5 linked regions of the Nothobranchius furzeri genome follow. The main gene of each other region encodes a partner of the protein of the gene in region 4 in a complex. Links are inferred from orthologs where the notes say so. Each region holds a gene or a part of one and is shown on either strand. Other genes may lie near its edges. The genes, in order: sirt2, ipo13b, nup50, ran and exportin-5.

Region 1 (4,034 bases), on a different chromosome or scaffold from region 4:
AAATATTTGTGTGTTTTCAGAGCATCAGCACCATTTACGGACACTAAAGCTTCAGGGCTGTCCTGAGGTGGACGACTGGTTCCTGGCTAAACTCCATGTATTGCAGGACTCTCTGGAGGAGCTGGATATCTCTCACTGTCCACTCATCACTACAGGCGGCCTGGCAACACTTAAAAATCTCAAGTAAAGAGCCTAAACTCATAGCAGAGTCTAATTTATAAATAATAAACAATACTGGAACATGTTTTTGGTTTTTCTGCTCAGGAGACTGAAGCACCTGAACGTGTCATCCCTCCCGAGGCTTCAGAATCCCGGGCTGGTGATCATCTTGCTGGAGGAGATGCTGCCACACTGTCAGATCATAGCTGATGGTTATGGCCACAGACTGAGACCTGCTGATAAGGTGTGTGTGGAGGAGGAGCGTGTACAGGGGCAGCAGCAGTAGATCGATGGGACAGCAGCTATAATATTTGTATATTTTTATTTATGACTTATGAGGGAACACAAAAAAATAAATACAGATAAATAAAAAAGGGTGGGATAGACAAACTGCCCATGTTTCTTAGATTATTTGCTGTTTAGGTTTGAGATGATCACTTCCTGTTTCCATCATGGGAATATGAATATGAAGAAGCTCTTTTCTGTATCATTTAAATGTTATTTTTGTCCTTGCAGAGTTTTCGTTTGTGGTCTTGATTGTACATTTGCTTAATAAAGATTATTCTATTCAAAATTCAGATGAATAAATCTGTTATTGTACATTATATGTTGGGCAAAAGGAGATCTGAGGCACTCAGGAGATGCAACATCAAAAAGCCTTTATTGGTGCATGGCTAAAATAGTTAGAAACATAAGCGCCGACGCGTTTCAGCCCACGGGGCCTTCGCCAGGGCTCAAAATGTTTGTCGGTCCTCTCACTTCCATGTTAAGAAGGCCAATCAGTGACATCTGCTGAAGTTGAGCAGGCAGGCAGCATCATGATTGGATGACCAATAACGCACAAAAAACACTTTTAGATTCTAAACAATATTGTAAGGAGACATACTTACACATGTTAAATTACACTTAGAGAATTGAGAAAAAGGAAAAACAAGTAAATATGGTAAGAAAACATAGAATTACAAAAAAGGAGCAAAGTCCAATTCTCAATTAAGACCTGGAAATTTCGTAGCCAATAAAGGCTTTTTGATGTTGCATCTCCTGAGCGCCTCAGATCTCCTTTTGCCCAACATTCATGTGGATCCCTTGGCTGAAGAGCACCAGATAAAATTTCTTACACCTCTGCAGCACGTCCAGCATTTTTCTCTATTTTCATATTGAACATTATAGTCTGGCTGTCTATATATCTAATCCTGACAGTAGAAGATTGAATGATAAAACTAAAGCCAATGATCCAGAGAGACGTTGCTGCATCAGAGTTACAGCCCAGAGCAGAGCGGTGAAGATGCACCTGGCTAGCTCCAGCTGGACAAACACACCTCTGTGTGTAAAGATCTTTGTTTTCTGTAGAGTTTATTCTTCATTTTCAGATACTAATAATATCTGTACTATAAATTATAATCTCCCGTGGTGGCATTTTTTTGCTTACATTTTCGGGTTTGTTAACCTGAGTAGGAACCACATGATCGGGTTCATGACGAACTCGGACGCTATTTATGACGGACAAAAATAATACGGAGCGGAAGTAGAGCCAACAGCTGAGGCCTGAAAACATTTATTAATATTAAAGGCTTTACATTTAGTGCTGTTACGTGTCCACAGACGGATAGATGTCTGATGCATCAGGTAGGGCAGCTGTCATGTCCGAACAATAACTTGCATCGCTGCGCTAGCTAACTAGTCAGTCGAGGTTACTTGACACGTTTTGTTTTTTATCGCAGATTTTCCCAACCAAGTAGAAGAGGAGGTTTCACCCGAAGAACAGGTGAGACTCGTGGTGGGAACGTATATTTATGTCGATGGGTGGGAACCCGGTGGCCTGTAGCAGCTCTTCCGCCTTCGTGGAGCCACGGAGACGAAACCAAAGGAAGACACGTCGAGAGAAGAAAAACACTCATTTAGAGTCAATTGATATGTTTAGAAAAACGTCCGGGAATTATGTTCAGACTAAAGTTGACGAAGTGCTGAACCTCTGTGTTGTCGTTGTTAGCGAGGCGTCTGGGTGTTTTACCCGGTGACAAGCCGCGAGGCCGGACCACCAGGTGTGTCGGATGGTTTTGGTCATCTCCGACCCGTGGGTGAGAGGAGATGTGATGAAGAAAGCAGCAGATGACTGCATGAGCTCCACGTCTCCCCCTTTGACTGTAAACGCCCCCCCCCCCCCAAAAAAAAAACAAAAACAAACAATCAGATGTCTCAGTATACACAATAGGAGATAAGAATGCACCTAGAACATCTGGAGCTTAAATACAATGTTTACTACTACTAATAAAGGTTTCTGGTGTCTGGAGGTGGGCCACATGTGCGACTCCCACAGGTCCATCATTTCTCCCACCCCTTGAACATTTTGTGCATTTAACTTCAATTGTCTGGTGTTTTCACCACCTTTGTTCTGCTGGAAGTTTTATATTCCTGAAGAAATCCAAAGTAGCTCCTAATGAAGGCAACGGGACTCCTTTAGTTTCTTAAAGATGTTTCGCTTCTCATCTTTGTCAATTCTGACAGGTGTAGGGGAGAGTCAAGCATATAAACCACAGCTGTGTATCACTGCTTAGCGAGTAGAAACTACCTATGAATACCCATCCTCCATACTCCTTTTGGAGTCGTTAGCCTCTATTGTGTGGAAGTTGTATTGATTAGATGTAGGAGGCGGTGACCTAGACTAAAACTGTTTGGGAATTAGAGTCAAAGCTGCATTATAGGTGGTAGAAAGTTGAAACCCAGTGCTTCCTCTTCTATTTAATGTAGGTCTTTCCCATTTAATAGCTTCCTTCACTCTTCTTTCAAACGCTCTGACAGGAATCTTGGCGTGACCTTTGACCCAGCTCTCACCCTGGATTCTCATGTCAGTTCTCTTATTCGCTCTTCCTTCTTCCATCTCAGGAACGTTGCTAAGCTGAGTCCCATTCTGTCCCGCTCTGAACTTGAGACAGTTATCCGCACCTTCATCTCCTCACACTTAGACTACTGTAACTCTCTTTTCACGTGTCTGAGCACTCTGATAAAGCGACCTTAAAAAACTTGGACGGATGAACCGCGCTGCAACGCGGCCTGGCGGGAATGTGGAAGTGGCGCTCAGGTCACCAAACAAAGGACAAGAAGCTAGAAGATCGCGCCGATGTTTACCAGATAAACCACGCTTTAAGAGAAGTCTTATTCTCACCTGGATTCCTGCTCGTTTACCTCTTTTCCTCCGACGTTTTCCCGGGACCGGACAAACATTGCCGGAGGCGGGGAGCTCGGGACCGTCGATTGGTTCCGGGCCAGTGCGCCACTCAGGTAAACAAACAGGATGGTACGTCCTCGTTGCGTCTTGGGCGATCGTGAGGACTAAAGAGTCTGGCGATCATAGGAGATGGTAGCGGGGACACCACTGAAGAGGATCGCAGACAGGAGCAAGGTGGAAAAGAGGAGGTTAGTGGAGAAAAGTTTGAAAAAATGGCCGGTGACTGTGGCTAAGCCAAGCACAGGCGCCATCTTGTTGTTGACCGGAAGCAGAAGTGAAATAACCCCACCCCCTGAGAATTCTAACCGAGCCAATCAGCGCTGAGTAGCATACGTCACACACCACAACGCCGAGTTTGTCATAAACATGTCGACTGAAGCGGAGTTCGCTGCGGCTCTTTCCTCTGGTCTAAATGACTTGGACAAGCGCTAAAAGCCTTTCTTCTAAAGAAAGATGTTTGCGCCGTTGCCAGACGCCATTTTTTACTGCAGGTAGAAAACTACAGCGTCGCGCGGTACAGTCGGCATTTCGTCTTTTTCCTGATTGGTTATTTTGAGCTGCCTAGTCCCGCCCCTCGTGTGCCTCTCTGCCTGTGAGTTCCCAGACTCTTTGTCTGTGCAGAATTCAACAGGACGAGTCTGGCAGGCCA
Region 2 (3,511 bases), on a different chromosome or scaffold from region 4:
AAAAAAGTAATGAGTTAAAAAAGGAGGTAAAGATCATCAGGAAATGAGGAGGATATTCTTTTTGGTCTGAACAAGAAAACAGTTATTAGTGGACAACACTTTGTCCCCAAAATAGCAACAGATCCTTGACAACAGACACATGTATCCTAAAGCTAAAACAATTACTTTGATGCTAACGTTTAATCATTGCTGTCTCCATAGTGATAGAACATGAACGCCCAAAAAGAGAACGTGGACGTTGCTGCCACACCCCCTGATAGCTCCATCCTTTCCTCTTCCTCAGATGCATGTCTCCCCCACACTCACACACTGCTCCCCATCAGCCCTGATGAGGAACAACACAGAGGTCTTCCCACTAGGTGCCACTGTTTAGCTAGCTCCAGAATCAGCACTTGACTGCATTGCCTGACGTAATGCTGTGACATTAAGCTGCGTGGAAGACAACACGTGAGGGAGAAAGTTGGACCAGACTGTGTGGAGGGTGGGGAAGTAAGACAGGAACAAAGAGAGAAATTAAAGCTTAGTATCTCTGTTCCTCTGTGCCAGGGGTTTAACCGATGTGAGTAAAAAGCAAATATCAAAGTATTTTTAGATCAGCCCTGCTCTGTATTCACACATCGCAGCAGAAGAGTAAATATCTGAGCTCTGATAGGTGTGACATTTCAGCAAAGTGAAGAATTTTCTTTTTGAAGACAAACAAAATCACAAGGTGGAGAAACATGAACAAATAGCTTTTGTTTTTACTTCATTAACGAGTGAGAAGGTGAATCTTTGCTGCTTCCATGTGAGTCACTTGCCCACGGTGCAGGCGGGGTCAAAACCAATCTGGTCCTGCAGAGAAATGTTCCACTGCAGCAACACCATACAGGCACCAGCTCTGATCCTTTTGGCCAAGGTCCAACTGTTCCTGCTCTGTGTGTGTGTGTGTGTGTGTGTTGCTTTTCTCTAGCTGTGTGTACTGACCGTCTCATCTGCTAGCTTTTCCAGTTGCTGAATGTAAGGAGTGATGAGGGAATGAAGGTTTCTTAAGATGTCCTCCACGGGGAGAGCCGAAAGCAGGAAGCCAAGAGCCTGCATCAGCCACATACACTGACTTGTCTGTGGGAGGAGACACAGGTTTAGCTTCAACTTAGGAGCTGAAAGTCAATAAATACTTCTAATTAAAACAAACTGCAGCCTGTAAACACATGATGTTATTTTTAGATTTCCTTTCTTCTGAGCTGTCAGAGTGAAGACAACAAACACAAACCTTATGGATCTGCTTGATGAGCACCTCCTAGAAAAACAAGAGAGTCATCGTGAAGGCAGAATAAAGACAAAGGAAAGAAACTTTAAACAAACACAGCCGAGTTATTTCTGGAACATTATACACATCCACAACACCTCAGATGTGAAACGTGATGAAGAGGCACTTGTGTTATAAACTGCTTCCACGCTTGTTTTAAACGATGTACCTGAGAAACTGCTACTATGTTGGTTGCGTAAGGTGGCAGGTCGTGTTTGCATTCCCGGCAGATTTTCTTTAAGGTTGAGACAGAAGAAACGGAAAGGTCGGGGTTTCCTAATGCTTGCAACACCAAAGGCAGCACACTGCTGAGCATCACTGGGTGATCGGCCAACCATTCAGCCAGAGCCCCTACACAGACAGCAGCGATTCAAACACAGAGCAAAAACCGTTAGCTACTGTCCATCACAAGGTTTTGATCACATTTCCCCCTTACCTATAGTGAACATCACAGTGTCGGCTAACTGGACATTGTTGATGTTGATTCTGGGGATGAGTCCTATCAAGCCAGGAATGACGTCAGAATAGTTCACGTCTATCGTCTCTGCTATGGACTGGAAGCCGTACAGCAATGCTTCTGTGTGCTGGAGGACAAGAACAGGCTGAGACTTCAAATCTCATTTCCTCTAGCTTGTATTGATTTGAAGTGGAGTGCTGAATTTTTTCAGTGCAGGCGTCTCTGTGAGACAGGAAGAAATAGAAAATAGCAGCAATAATTCTTTCCTCGTCTGCGTGCTTCACCCACCTGCCATGATGTCAGCTGCTCTGTGTTCGTCAACAGTCGCCCTAGTTTATCGTACAGGTTACTCAGCAGCTCCGCTCCCAGCATCTCGTACACATACATGAGCGTGTCGGAGATGTCCACCCTGAAGGACGGACAAACACAAACAGATGCTTCAGTGGCACGAAATCATGACATCTTATCAGCTCATCCATCCCACAGACACGTTTTGCTTGCTCAGCTGTCAGTTCAGTAAGAGTCCATTAGAGAGAAGAACAGACTCATTTTCTGACCAATCAGCCTGTCAGGGAGTCATTTCTGATACACTGAACAGTCAGTGAAACACAGCAGAACACGTGTTAACAGAGACGGACATGAATACAAATGCACAAACAAGCACCGGTAAATCCTGAACTGCTCCTTTTCATCAGAGGACCAGGATGCATACTCCTGGTCAGAGGGGAACTGGGCTTTGTGCAGCAGAACGTCCACCAGCTGGAAATACACTGGCCTGTAGACCTGGAGATACACCGCCTGTTTATCGGTCTCGAATGACATGATCTCATCCTGTAAATGGAGAAAACATCACCACAAATACTTCATTTGCATTTTGAAGGAAACGAGAATGTGCATTTACATGTGAAAACAATTCAGTAACGAATTATTTACTAAAGAAAGTAAAAACATTTATCAGGAATTCTTTTATTTATTTTTTTAGCATTAGGATGTCAGTTTACAGACAAAACAAAGCCTGTCCCAGCACACCAAGTAGCAGGTTGATTTAAGATGTGAACAATTCTTACTTGTAGTGTGTACCAGAAGGTAAGTGTGAGGGAGCTTGTGGTCTCGTTGACCGGATAGTGGCCGGGGATGCCCGTACAAAACATGATCAAGTTTACTAAAGCCAGGAAGCTCTGCCAGTGATCCACCTGCTCCAACAGAGTCCTGTGGGTACAGAAATAAGAGCAGTAGAAAGAAGAATGTGATTTTATTTTATATAAACTATCTATTCAGCTGTCTGATTCCTGAGGTTTGGACTGGATATAGGGATTTAAAAACAGACAAGGAGGAGGACTGACTTCCACGGGAACAACCTGCCTCTACAAGTCAAACAGCCTTCCCCCTAGTTTAAATTGGCACTGAAAACCCATCTCTTGGTCTTGGCTTTTAACACAATATGAGATGTTGATTTTAGGTGTTTCTTAGCATTTTACCTCATTATTGGATTGCTTTTACCCATCTTATATTGGGCTGTTGTATGCCGTTTGTCTATTTTATTCTCATTTTAAACTGGATGATTGTTGATTTTAGTATTTTGGCTCACTCCTGTGATGTTAGAATCCATGCTTAAGGCTGTTACACGTGTTTTATATTTTAAATTGTATGTATGACATCACTGACTTTGACTTATGACTTGTACTTTATTTCAAATGTAAAAAAAAACATTTTTTATACAACACAACTCAACACAAAAGCAATCAAATATTTAAGTCCGAAAAGGAGCA
Region 3 (3,511 bases), about 60 Mb from region 4:
CCGGACGGTGTGGAGATGTTTAATCACCGAATTGGCTTCACTGGAGGACTTGAATGATCAATACAGACTTAAGGCAGAGAGGAAAAATTATCTCTGTCTGACCCAAACAAAGTTCTGTTATCGAATCTGATGCCATAAGCAGCCTTGAGTTGCATGCAAAACAACCCCCACGATGGAAGGAATGCAGACAAATGCTGTGAAACCCTACCTACCCCCCACCTTCAGATTGTGGTCTCTGCATCGAGGTCATCAAGATGAAGGCACTCACTGCTCTCTGTGCTTTCCCGTGACCTCCCTCCCACCTGTGGATTCAGCCGGTTGAGCGCCACACAGGCAGCCCCCGCTGAGGAAAGCAGGGTCCCAGCCCCTCCCCCCTACCTACTGGGTCTCATGTTGTGAACTGTGACATTTGTGCTTATATGTTGGGTGGTTTTTTTTTGCATTGGAGTGCTACACCCTGCCGGTGTAACCCTGTTAATGCCTTTTTCTCTCTCCCCTGAACTCTCCTCATGTAATCCCCTCTTCATCTACTATAAGGAGCGCCGTCATGGCTGCTCCCGTGGTCTGCCTGTATCTGTCCTGTCTACATGTGTGTGTGTGTAATCTTGGTCAGGTTGTACTGTGGAGTCAAGTTCCTATGCTCTGGATCGCTGGAGCGCTGGCAATAAAATTCATTCTGATTCTGATACTAGACGGGTTGTACTCAGAGCTGGCTACAAGTTCCGGTGCCAGAGGTTCACACCATCAGCAGTGTCCATCTCGACCTGATCTTCACGTAAGGGTGCGTAGACCTGGCACAAATAGCGTTGGATGGTTTCATGAATAATCTCTAGCTTATCAAACCATCCAGCCAAACTGACTTTACAACCCAGACCTCAAGTTATCAGATACTCAAAGGTTTTGCTAAAACACCTAACTTCCACTCAATCATTTCATTCATCTGTCATCCTGTACAACCATCATTTCATTCATACTTTGTCATGTAAAATCATTTAGTTTAGGAAAATAGAATTAATTTCACCACAGTACATGATAAGGCAATCACTTTTACGGATTTCTGAAGAATCATACATTTTTCTGAAAGGGGAAAACTCAGGAAAGATTCTTCAAAACCCTCTAAAAAAATTTGAATTTTTTGCAATGACCTAATCGACTATTACAGATACTGACCAGACTGAATGAAAATTGCAGAAATTCAGTTTAACTACACTTCACCATCCATAAAATATGTTCAGATTTTCATTTTGTTAAAGAATACTGTCAAATCATTTAAGAAAATCTAATTTCTCTCAGAGAACTGTGTTCCACATATGTCACTTAAAGACATCTTACAGGGTAGCTGCTACCACTACTATGTGATTAAGCTGCATTTTGTTCTACTCTGTGCTCCAAGTGATTAGGGAAAATTGTCCACAAGGCATTCATTAATACCCAAGACTAAAGATAATTTATTGAACAAGTGAATGAGAACATTTTTTGCTGATAAATGTATAGATGAGTGTCTAGCAGTCTGTCACTGACTGCACCTACCAGGCGACGCTTGCTTGTGGTCCGTTTCTTACACTGAAAATGTGGGTGGAGTAAGACTCTGGTAGAGGCTTGACTGACTAAAGCCTGATTTATGCTTCTCCGTCTGCGTCAGTGCGGAGACACGCAACGCCATTATCCGTCCTTGCGTAGGGCTCCGGCAGGCACGCAAGTACGTACGGAGTCGAGCCCACTTTTTTAAACATCCGTCGAACGAGACGGATTACGCAAGCTTGTGATTGGGCAGGACGCCGCTGTTGTTTACAGCGCCGCCATTGCAAAGAGAGCCGAGGATAACTAGCGGCAGACACGGAGAAGCTTGAAGAATACCTCGCGAAAAAAACTCTAAAAATATGAACGTTTAATTCTCCCGTGACTGGAGGAGTGAAAAGATGCGCAGCAAGCGTTTTATTTGTGGATGGAAATGACAGGAAACGTGGGTTTAGAGGTGGGGAGCGCATGAAGCGGTGGGAGAATGAGAGACAAATACGTCCGTGTTAAAAGTCTCTTATATACACAAAAAACACAATATAAACACACGATCTTGGACCGATACATGACAGGATACCACAGAACAGCGCTACGCCCTCTGTGGTCCTGTCAGGCAATTGCTTTGCAACACTCCCCAGGAGACGGAGAAGTAAAAGCGCAAAACGCTTCCGTCAATCCGTGCGTGTCTGTCCCTTGCGGAGCTGACGGAGAAGCATAAACCAGGCTTAAGAAAACTGAACCGTTTTCACCAGTTTTGACAGAAACAGAAAATTTGATTTTTGACTTCAGTTACAACATCTTAACACTTGTTTGTTAGTCTGGTTTACCCAGGTTGGTGTCCGCACGAATGATCATCTGGATCTTTCCATCTGAGGTGTTTTTTAGGTGCAGCGTTCCAACTCCTTTCTCCTTAAACTCCGCCTCCTTCTTGTAGAACAGTTTGCACCTGAAAGCATCGGAACACAGGTTTCATTAGCAGCTCCACGCCTCAGGCATCAGGCTGATTATTGGACCTACTTCTTTGAGTAAAATGCGTCATCCTCCTTCACTTCCTTCACCTCTGGTTTGGGTGGCTCTTCCGACTCCTCATCTCCATTTTCATCTGCAGGAAGTGGGTTAGGATCTGGTCAACATCTCACGCAGGAATTCCTAAAGGCCTAAATTGTGTTTAACTTTGATGTAATGAAATAATTTTTGACTACGGATAAAAGATCAAACAGAACCTGCAGCCTCATCGGGTTTGGTCCCACCGAAGGGTGGCAGAGCAGCAGGTCCAGGAGCTCCAAAAAGGGAGGTCTGGCTTGAAGAGGAGAAAGAGAAGCTGGAGGCAGCTGATTTGGACCTTAAAGATCCTAGAACGGAGCTGTCAACCTTCTGGCCAAAATTGAACGTGATGCCAGAAGCCACTGGAGCAGTGCCAGAGACTTTTTGGGCCAAGTCCTCTGATGTGGTTCTACTGAAAGAGAACAGAGCTGCTGAAGGAGGAGGAGTCTCCGAGCCTCCATCAGCAGCTTCTCCTCCTCCATGTTGCTGCTCGATGCTGCTGAGATGGCGTTCATAATCCCTGAAGATGGGGTTCAGGTCACACAGAGGGTTGTCGTTCACATGTTTGGTGATCCAGTCACGGACAGAGCAGTTCAGCGCTGTCAGTTGCCGCCGGTACTCCTTGTTACTCTGGGTTGGGCTGGGGGAGGAGCCATTGGTCTGTCGGGTGGTGATGTCAGCAGTCGGTGGGACATAGGGCCCATTGAAGGTCAGACCTAAAAGAAGATTTGGGAGGTGGTCCTGATGAGTCAAGTCAATGTGGCAACCTCTGAGGTTCTGAATATCTGTTTCTGAGTATCGGTCAGGGTCCTGATCACGCATCTGGTGGACTTAAGTCCTCCAGAAGACAGGCGACATTAGGAGAATGATGGGTTGTCCTCACCTACTGTGGCACTGGAGACCCCAGTGTACAGAGCCTTGCTGCCCCCGTTGGTCAGACCGAATCCTT
Region 4 (4,260 bases):
AATGGTAGCTTAATGCTTCTCATGAATGAATCAAACAGAATGATTTTCCCCAAGGGGATCAATAAAGTACACATTATTCATCATCTTTATGTTGAATGTTTGACATGTTAATATATTTATAATACCGGGAACAGTATTCATCCAGGATCTCCCTTCTCTCCCATTCAATTCTTTTCAATATAAATTAGGACAAAGATGTTATCTACAAGTTTAAACCCTGTATAGTTTCACAAAAAATAATGTTTGACTCATTGTTTTACCGTTTTCCATTTAAAAACATCACCAACCCAAAGCAGCTGTTAGTTGTAGAATTTCAGACATTGCAGAATGACACCAAGTTTGTTAAACTAATATATAAAAAGGTTGGTATTGCTTGATTTTCCATCTACTACAATCAGTTATGTGACTGATGCTGGAAGTCATTTATAGCTAGCTATATGGAGTAACTAGTACTTAGAATTTCTGCATTTTTGCACTCTTTGGGATTACTGAGGACAGTCATTCTTATTTGGCCTATTATTCATAGACTTGATAAGAGAATGGTTTTAAATAACATGGACATGAAATAGTTGTGTTTATCTTTCAACTACAAGAATAATAAAAACCACTTGTTTTATGAAGTAATTTCAACAAACACTAATTTCACAGGAAGACCAGAACTGTGCATTTTACACGTCTGTGTCATAAACTTGTGATGCAGCGATTTTACAATATTTTCTGTAAATGTGATGTTCTAAACATTAGTGGCAAACCTAATTTGGTAAAAACAAACACTGGGTTAGTCTTGTACAGTTTACATTTAACTTTCTCAGGTTACTCACCAACATACTTCTTCTCAAACTCTCCTGTAATGTGTCTCTTCACAAAAGTTGTTTTTCCCGTGCCTCCATCTCCGACCAACACCAGCTGTGAAGAACAGACCAGTTATCTACTGACCGGTTTGTGCTGGTACACCAGTTACCTCAGCTAAAACGCACACATTTTTGCCCTCACGCGCCATAATTAGATCATACTTAACATCATTCTTAAGAAGTAGATTCTTACCTTGAACACCGCCACAGGTACACACTGTCCCATAGAGTCAGCCATGGTTCCAAATATTCTGAAACAAACAAGGCGGGAATCTACCGTTAGTGTTATCTATACGTTGATTTAAGTTAAAGATTCTCAATAACTCAATTTGGCATTCTGGGAATATTGTTCACACGGGGCTTTGAACACGCACCATTCTGTACAGACGAGTTTACAGCTAAGGGATAACTTCTAGCATGTTCTATCCAAGCTAACGTTCCGACATGTTCAAATGCGACGTTATAATTTATGAAAGCTTGCTAACGCATCAACAAACAGCCTCTAACTGCTCTCCGGTGTGCCAAAATATAAAGTAAAACAAAGCTACCGTGCCCCCCAAAAGCCTCAGCACTGGCGGTTACCAACTAGCCTTCAAGCTAACAGGCGTTAGTTTAGTGCGCCATATGATGCCTGAGCGCACTTTTTCAGGTTCGACTGGAACAATCAGACAGTCACAGAAGCTAATGCGTTCCATGTTGCCGTCAATTTCTGGTCTAAACAAGACGCCTTCCGTAAATAACGTTAATTGCGAACAAGAAAAAATTGTGAAAACTCCCTGGCAAATATACACAAATAAGAGTAATAGGAACAAATATCCCAGAACAAAGCCGTGAAATGGAGCATTGCTGTGCTCGCTAGCCTCACAGCTAGCACAGCATGGAAGCCATTCTTCCCCGTTAGCTGGTAGCACAAAAAATGCGACGGCCTTTCCCCCTCAACTGCTGTTAAGGCTGCACATGCAAAACGACCTTAACCCAAAAGAAGAAAATAACCCAAAAAGTTTTGTTTCATTCTTAGTGACTTAAAAACAATCCAAACTTGACATTTAGGAAGGCCCTCAATTGAAGAGGAAACTAGCGACTCACCGGTGTCACTGCGAAGAGAGGAAAGAGTAAATGGCTGCGTTCGCGGCAGATTCAGCGTGGACTATGAGTCACTTTCCGCCCTGGTCACGTGGCCTCCGCAGCGCCAAAAACGCATAAAATATAGAACATGAATCAGCATCCGTCTGATATACCTTCACGATGCGCACTCCGCTGCTTTGTTCTCAAAGCAACACTTCTAGAGATTAAACCGTATATATCATGTTTTTAAAGTGTTGATCAAGACATATGGGCCCGATAAGAAGCCAGCTAGTTTTTGTTGTTCAAAGGTTTCTGCCCTTTTCTGAAAACTTCCAAGGACCTTCGGGGTTATAAATCATAAATTTGACATTTGCACTAAAAGGAGGTTTTGACAGGAGGAGCCTTTCCCAGACACCAGTGTCTTTCTGTACTTCTCTACTTCAGGAACCCCTTTCAGGCTCTCTAAAGATTACGGAGTAATGAAGGGAGGCAGATGCCCGATGATATGTGTTACTTAACTCTATAGACATTTCTGTGTTTATGTCCATGCTTTAACCCCGGCTCTTCCATTGTTTGTTCCTGTAGCAAAGTTAACACGCAGGGTTAAAGAGTGGCCTTTAAAACTCATCTGGTTTAAAAATACATAATCAATTTGTATAATTTCACCCGTAGTTCATACCTTAGTGGAAACTGCAAACCAGAGCTGACAGAAATGGGACCAAGTAATAGGTTCAAATGATTCTGGGCCTGTGTTTTATATTAGATCATGCAGTTAAATAAAACAGATCTAACAAGCTTGAAGAATTTTCCTGAAAAACATGTTATGACTGTTGATGAGGCACAAAAGAAGCAGAGAGAATTAAAACTAATTTGTACTCTTTTTAAATTACATTATTAAACTGCTATGACATTTTTCAAGTTGTGATTGCACTTAAACTAGCTGTTAGCTCATCAATCCTGTTGAATGTTTCAGTCCATTCAGAAAGCTAAATAAAATAGTAATTACTTATATCCTTTATATAAAAATACACTTCAAACTGGTCAAAACAATTCTGTTGAGGTTGAAATCAGAAGCTGCAGGTATGCTTCACTCCCAATTCTCCAACTAATCTAACACCAGCCTAGGTTTAAAATATGGTTTATTTAATTACCCTCAGTTGTTCTGGAGAAGCATTACATTGAAATGTTCAACTTAAAAACAATAAAAAATGTTTTAATGTGTCTGTAAATATCAGTGAGTAAAAACAAATGAATTCAACACATGAACAGTTCAAACTAACCCAATCCTACAACAAAACAAGCCAAACAGTGCCTGACCAACAAGAAAGCTCCCAACCTGTTCTAGCCAATGGCAAAAGAGCTGTAGTATTTAACCCTGGCTGATCCACTGAGTAGAAAACATTCTGTGGATAAGGAATAGTCGAGTCAGTTGGAGACAGGTCAAATCATTACCGCATGAGACCATCATTAGGTTAAAAACTGCCATATATCTAAAATAACGAAAGATAAAGAAAATTTTGCAAAAATGCTTACTAAGTAGAACTCGAGGGAATAGTGAAATGATTTCCAGAAACACATTATAAGGACTAACCAATGTAACCAGACTAAACAGCCGTTTAGCTCAGAGAGACACGCATTACTGAGGATATAAACCTCAGTTAGATGGGAAGCAGCAAGACTGATTCCTGACAACAACAGGATCTAAATGATTTAAGATGTTATTTTTCTAATAAAGGATTAACCAACAGAGCCACCCCCCCCCCCCAGTCATAAATACAAGATGAAAATTTAAGTTACTCAGTTAAGTTTTATGATTTACAGAAAAAGCTCAACAGTGAAGGTGTGCCTATAAAAAAGCTTTTAGAACAACTTTTGTTAGATTTGTTTATTTTTGTTTATGGCCAGTTAATGTATGATTACTGGGCTTGCTTCAAAATGAGCATTTTAACTCCACAACATGTAGCTATTTCTATAATGTACATAAGCATGATGCCAAAATGGTTTGTTTTTACAAGAAGTGGTTTATCTGTACAAATAGTCTGCCTGTATATTGGCTGCTATCTCAGGCTCCCATCGGTCTCCGTTGTTGAGCAGCTTTTCCTTGTTGTAAAGAAGCTCCTCGTGCGTTTCTGTAGAAAACTCAAAGTTTGGACCCTGAGGAGAAGGTTGAGAGAAAAATATCAAACAGCAAATACTGGATAGGAAAAGGTAAGCAGCGATTCTTTTTTGTGGAAGAAGTGTTGCTTTTTGTTTGATGACATTTTCTCTTTTCTCACCTCCACAATAGCATCAACAGGACAGGCTTCCTGGCAGAAACCACAATAGATGCACTTGGTCATGTCGA
Region 5 (4,195 bases), on a different chromosome or scaffold from region 4:
TTGTCTGGTGAGTGGGATGACGTGTCTCGATCTTGCTTTCAATTAAAAAAAATTTTTTGGGGGGAAAAAACCAAGGGAATTCCTTCATGAGCTGAGGATGTGGTGTGACCAAATATGGTTAAATGGGCGTTTCTGTATGTAAATGACTGAACAGACACAAGCACCTGGGTATGAACGATAAACGTGGGATTTATCGTTAGACGATTGCGAAGAAACGTACGTAGGAGAGGCCACCGCATGTTTCATAAATCAGGACTTTTACCGTTCCTACGAACATTCTACATTTCGTTTATAGAAAGAAATATAGGAATATTTCTACAAACATTTGATGAGTGAGGGCTCAGAGGTGTTGCTTCCAGCTGTAAATACGGAAGTGGTGAGGACGGCTTAAGGTGCTATACATTCATAAGCCTCTAGATGATGGTGTTGGATAAAAAAGCTCCAGATTTCTGCTTTAAGTCCAAATAAAGCTTTATTTATAGCTCTGCTAGTCTGGAGCACTTTAAAGTTAAAGTCCCATTAGTTGTCACACACACAGGTGTGTGTGCGAAATTTGTTCTCCGCATTTGACCCATCCCCTGGGGGAGCGGTGCGCTGCAGACAAGCCGCGCTCAGGAACTATTTGGTGGTTTAACCCCCCAATCCAACCCCTTAATGCTGAGTGTCAAGCAGGGAGGCATTGGGTCCCATTTTTTCAAAGTCTTTGCTATGACCCGACCAGGAATCGAACCCCTGATCTCCCAGTCTCAGGGCGGACACTCTACCACTAGGCCACTGAGAAAGGTGAAGACACACCATGACACACCAACTAAACTAAAGTAACACTTATTTTCCTGCGACTCACCTTCCGACTCAAAGCGATGAGCAGACACTCCGAAGCTTCCAGCTGCAGCTCTGGTTCAACCAGCAGTAGGCACAACATCTCCAGCAGCTTACAGTTTCCGCTGGTGATGTGCACCAATGACACCCAATCTATGTAGCCTGCGAGTGTGTTGAGCACCGCCACGGCAACGCGACAGTGAGCTTTGGCCTGCATGTTTGTAGGCAAAACATCAGAGACAATGAGACAAGTGAAATCAAGGTGGCCACGTTGAGTTTAGTCTAGATGTTGCTTTTTTTTTTATACCTGCAGTTCACACGCGGGCACCACTTTCTAAATGACAAAGAAAAATCAAATTCAGCCGTTCAAAACTCAATAAAGTTAAAGAAAAGTACCAAAGTTTGGACCACACTGACCACTATGCGATATTCCTCAACTTGAATACGCAGAATAGTCAACAGGAAAGTGAAGATTCTTTCCATGTTTTGAGTGAGCGTCTGCTGGATGTCCCTGCGCCGCTGACTGGGCAAAGTCTGGAAAGTGATGACATCCTCTGCCAGCCTCAAAAGGATCAGCATGACCAGTTCTGTCTGCGTCTCCTGTGACATATACATTTTTATTCTATTTTATACACTTCATCTCAAGGGAGGTTGTATTTCTTAGGTCAACCGATTCAATAAAACTGTTAATGTTGACAGGGGAGAGATGAAGACACCTGTTGTACAGTGGCCAAGTCTGAGCAATGACGTCATATGAAAACGAGCGTGATAAATCCCCCACAGGAGTACATTTGTTTACGAGGCATTACATAATCCTATTTAAATTGAATCCAAAGTGGTTAAGGAAAAAAGCAACACTTCCTGGACCATACATGTCACTCACCCCCCGACTGGTAAGAGCCTCCATCTCCTCCAGCATATCCGGCCAATTCTGAGGCCACTCTCTCTTGATCATTTCCACGATTATTCGAGATAGGCCATCTTTGATGTGTCTCTCTTCCTCCATGATAGAACAGGTACCCTGATAAGAAGGGAAAGTGACAGATACTGAAGACAGTCAGGGCTGACGTTTCATCTGAACTATTTTACTCTTTCACCTACAGAAGACAGCAGCTGCATGGCACACTCTTTTAACTGGACTTTCTCTTGTTGCTCCATGTTGTTCCACCGATACCTGAAAGGTGAAAATAAATGAAAATCATACGTGCTTTATTCTTTGTTTATCTGTGTCAGTGGTCCACCTACTTGATGACGTGCTCCAGGATTTGCAAACCAAAGTGTCTCACCAAAGCTGGGTGGGTTTTGTCAGCTAACCGAAGGCCACATGGGACACAAAGGGTGCTGGACTCTTTAAAGTCTTCACAGAACTGAGCAAGATAAACTTCTTTATTTTATAGGCAGTTAAATTAATTTGATGTTATTTAATCTCAGTATCAACACCTCTAAGTGGAATTCACCTGTTCATGCAAAGGCTTGTAAACGCAACAACAAATGAATGAGCTAATTCAAGTAAAATTATGTAATCATTTACGTGATAATAATGCTAAACCAGAACTTGCTACATGCTGTTACGAAGATATTACTACATAAAATACCAGTAATTGATTCGGTTAAGTGGGCTAATAATGTTTCCCTTGAAAACAGCAAGAAATTACTAGCTTCGCTAACGAGTAGTGGCTAACTAGCTAGCAACCGGTAACGATGCTACCTTTAGGGCCTCCATTCGGTCAACTTGGCTTGTTTCTGCATCCATCATCATAAGCACAGCTTTTGTAAGCTGATCGCACATGGCAGCCACCGGCTCAGCCATGACTTCAGGTAGCGTCTGTCACACCGTTAAAGACGAAAGCAAGCAACCTCCTTAAGCAAAACCACCACAAGAAGCGTGCAGCAATGGGAAGCGCCAACGTGCAGAAAACGCGAAGCTGCTTTTTGGTTTGAATCCTTCGGCTTGCCGTTGAGGGGAACTCTGGATGTTGTAGTTTAAAGTGCTTTGATAAATGCAATCAAAATTGTGCAAATGTCAGAATTTTGAAGTCTTATCTAAATATCAAACGGATTTTGTGAAACATTATCAAAACCCCAAAAGCTTAAAAAACACCACAATGTATATTTTTATTGCTGTGCTGCTGATTATAAATAATTATAATTATGGACAACTTCAATTTCTAACAGAACATGCTGCAATCTCAGCTAAACCAACTACTTTCACCAAATGCCACAAGGACTATAATCTTGTATTGTTGACACATTTAAATACATTAGGCTACTTGTTTCAGTTGCATGTATGTCCACCAAAGATGAATGCATTTTGGATGATACAAACTAATAAGGTGACAGAATAGTAGACGTTTAAAATCAAGATCTAATCAAAGTCACTATCTGGATGGTACGGCACAATTGATTTTGATAGGTTTTTTTTTGTTTTTGTATATTTTAACCCCGACAAGCAAAAATAAAATAGCAATAACTAGGCTATTTTTAAAATTTAAGGAATGGAAAATAGAGATAACTGTGTGAAAATGTAAGAAATAGAGCGAATAAGTCAGCTAATACTCCAGTCAGATAATTACTCCAATGAAGTATGGATACTCAACAATTACATCAAGTAAAGAAGCAACATATTACTTTGTTTCTTAACAGCGTTACTATTTATCTATTTCTAGGTTATCACATTTAGTATTTTGCATATTTACTCAGTCTATTCACATTAGAAACATTTTATGTCCATCATTTAAACAATAACTTTTTCCATTCATTTTCTCACTCCACAACATTTAGCTACAATCTCGTGCACACTATTTTCAGATGTGGTAAATTCAATTGATTCAATCTTTCAAATATTATTTTACACATATAGGCCTGTATGGCCTTTTAGTATTTATTATTATTGTAAATCTTATTTGCTACTGTCAATTTACTTTGGTGCTGTTACACCAAATGTTCCAACTGGAGGACAATAAAGAGAATTTCTATTCTTTTCCTTTTAGATTTTATCTGTGATGTTGTGCTGCCTTCTCTAACAGATAGTTTTAGTGCTCCCATGTGATAATAGCTCAATTTGGCACCATGCAGGTCAATGTGGATTTTCACTTATTTAAAGTAAAGTTAAATCCAGCAAAAACATATTGCTTTCGTTCTTATTTATTTATTTAGTTAGCTATTAAAAACAAAGCGAAAATCAAGTGAAGGAGATATTTGTGCCAACAACTTCCGTTTTATGTCCCAACTTCATTTTGCTTCCTGAGTAAGACCCTTTTGATTTTATCCAGTTCAGGTTAGTTCCTCAGTTTGACCTTTCTAAGCAACCGCTTGATCCGGCGTTTTATTTATTTAATTTTGTTTTCGAAGAGATGACATTACACATTTCACAACA

What was found.
Region 1: the proteins of ran (region 4) and sirt2 are in contact, whole or in part, in a crystal structure (PDB 5FYQ), measured with the Homo sapiens proteins. The link is inferred for Nothobranchius furzeri from reciprocal best matches to the Homo sapiens genes RAN and SIRT2. Residues at the interface, in NP_006316.1 of Homo sapiens: Phe35, Glu36, Lys37, Lys38, Tyr39, Val40; in NP_036369.2 of Homo sapiens: Phe96, Arg97, Glu116, Phe119, Gln167, Ile169, His187, Ile232, Val233, Phe234, Phe235, Gly236, Glu237, Ser238, Leu239, Phe244, Gln265, Val266, Gln267, Pro268.
Region 2: the proteins of ran (region 4) and ipo13b are in contact, whole or in part, in a crystal structure (PDB 3ZJY), measured with the Homo sapiens proteins. The link is inferred for Nothobranchius furzeri from reciprocal best matches to the Homo sapiens genes RAN and IPO13. Residues at the interface, in NP_006316.1 of Homo sapiens: Lys37, Lys38, Tyr39, Leu43, Gly44, Val45, Val47, Pro49, Trp64, Gly74, Leu75, Arg76, Asp77, Gly78, Tyr79, Ile81, Gln82, Asn103, Arg106, Asp107, Arg110, Val111, Tyr147, Trp163, Arg166; in NP_055467.3 of Homo sapiens: Leu33, Tyr34, Tyr35, Ile39, Lys42, Gln46, Leu49, Met50, Gln53, Glu73, Tyr76, Phe77, Ser80, His83, Ile84, Ile118, Thr121, Arg122, Val125, Val172, Glu175, Glu176, Thr179, Ser414, Asp415, Arg784, Asp785, Pro787, Asp788, Pro829.
Region 3: the proteins of ran (region 4) and nup50 are in contact, whole or in part, in a crystal structure (PDB 7MO0), measured with the Homo sapiens proteins. The link is inferred for Nothobranchius furzeri from reciprocal best matches to the Homo sapiens genes RAN and NUP50. Residues at the interface, in NP_006316.1 of Homo sapiens: Arg29, His30, Thr32, Gly33, Glu34, Phe35, Glu36, Phe52, Val124, Asp125, Ile126, Lys127, Ser153, Asn154, Tyr155, Phe157, Glu158, Phe176, Ala178, Pro180, Ala181, Leu182, Ala183, Pro184, Glu186, Val187, Asp190, Pro191, Ala194, Tyr197; in NP_009103.2 of Homo sapiens: Pro344, Pro345, Lys346, Val347, Val352, Lys362, Cys363, Lys364, Phe366, Tyr367, Lys368, Asn371, Glu372, Phe373, Lys374, Glu375, Lys376, Gly377, Ile378, Lys384, Lys390, Gln392, Leu394, Arg396, Thr399, Asn400, Leu401, Asn403, Ile404, Leu405.
Region 5: ran (region 4) and exportin-5 share a complex: the UniProt entries of both Homo sapiens proteins name them as parts of the nuclear export receptor complex. The link is inferred for Nothobranchius furzeri from reciprocal best matches to the Homo sapiens genes RAN and XPO5.

Annotation. Positions count from the first base shown.
Region 1 is NC_091753.1:65,615,932-65,619,965, forward strand, and holds the start of sirt2 (NAD-dependent protein deacetylase sirtuin-2), read left to right. Parts: upstream 1-1,228; 5' UTR 1,229-1,769; coding exon 1,770-1,785; intron 1,786-1,880; coding exon 1,881-1,924; intron 1,925-4,034. Other genes in the region: dmac2 (distal membrane-arm assembly complex protein 2), read left to right, coding at 21-183, 265-445. UniProt on the Homo sapiens protein: NAD-dependent protein deacetylase, which deacetylates internal lysines on histone and alpha-tubulin as well as many other proteins such as key transcription factors.
Region 2 is NC_091748.1:47,618,613-47,622,123, reverse strand, and holds part of ipo13b (importin-13), read right to left. Parts: intron 2,952-3,511; coding exon 2,810-2,951; intron 2,574-2,809; coding exon 2,407-2,573; intron 2,152-2,406; coding exon 2,031-2,151; intron 1,870-2,030; coding exon 1,722-1,869; intron 1,637-1,721; coding exon 1,455-1,636; intron 1,277-1,454; coding exon 1,250-1,276; intron 1,099-1,249; coding exon 964-1,098; intron 1-963. UniProt on the Homo sapiens protein: Functions in nuclear protein import as nuclear transport receptor. Serves as receptor for nuclear localization signals (NLS) in cargo substrates.
Region 3 is NC_091741.1:31,616,099-31,619,609, forward strand, and holds part of nup50 (nuclear pore complex protein Nup50), read right to left. Parts: coding exon 3,446-3,511; intron 3,279-3,445; coding exon 2,742-3,278; intron 2,621-2,741; coding exon 2,536-2,620; intron 2,465-2,535; coding exon 2,346-2,464; intron 1-2,345. UniProt on the Homo sapiens protein: Component of the nuclear pore complex that has a direct role in nuclear protein import. Actively displaces NLSs from importin-alpha, and facilitates disassembly of the importin-alpha:beta-cargo complex and importin recycling.
Region 4 is NC_091741.1:91,737,497-91,741,756, reverse strand, and holds the start of ran (GTP-binding nuclear protein Ran), read right to left. Parts: upstream 2,805-4,260; 5' UTR 1,938-2,804; intron 1,445-1,937; exon of another isoform or gene 1,226-1,444; intron 1,103-1,225; 5' UTR 1,090-1,102; coding exon 1,045-1,089; intron 907-1,044; coding exon 822-906; intron 1-821. Other genes in the region: ndufs8b (NADH:ubiquinone oxidoreductase core subunit S8b), read right to left, coding at 3,939-4,070, 4,193-4,260. UniProt on the Homo sapiens protein: GTPase involved in nucleocytoplasmic transport, participating both to the import and the export from the nucleus of proteins and RNAs. Switches between a cytoplasmic GDP- and a nuclear GTP-bound state by nucleotide exchange and GTP hydrolysis.
Region 5 is NC_091752.1:19,803,398-19,807,592, forward strand, and holds the start of exportin-5, read right to left. Parts: upstream 2,809-4,195; 5' UTR 2,630-2,808; coding exon 2,528-2,629; intron 2,187-2,527; coding exon 2,065-2,186; intron 1,994-2,064; coding exon 1,921-1,993; intron 1,841-1,920; coding exon 1,703-1,840; intron 1,420-1,702; coding exon 1,237-1,419; intron 1,154-1,236; coding exon 1,127-1,153; intron 1,031-1,126; coding exon 845-1,030; intron 1-844. UniProt on the Homo sapiens protein: Mediates the nuclear export of proteins bearing a double-stranded RNA binding domain (dsRBD) and double-stranded RNAs (cargos). XPO5 in the nucleus binds cooperatively to the RNA and to the GTPase Ran in its active GTP-bound form.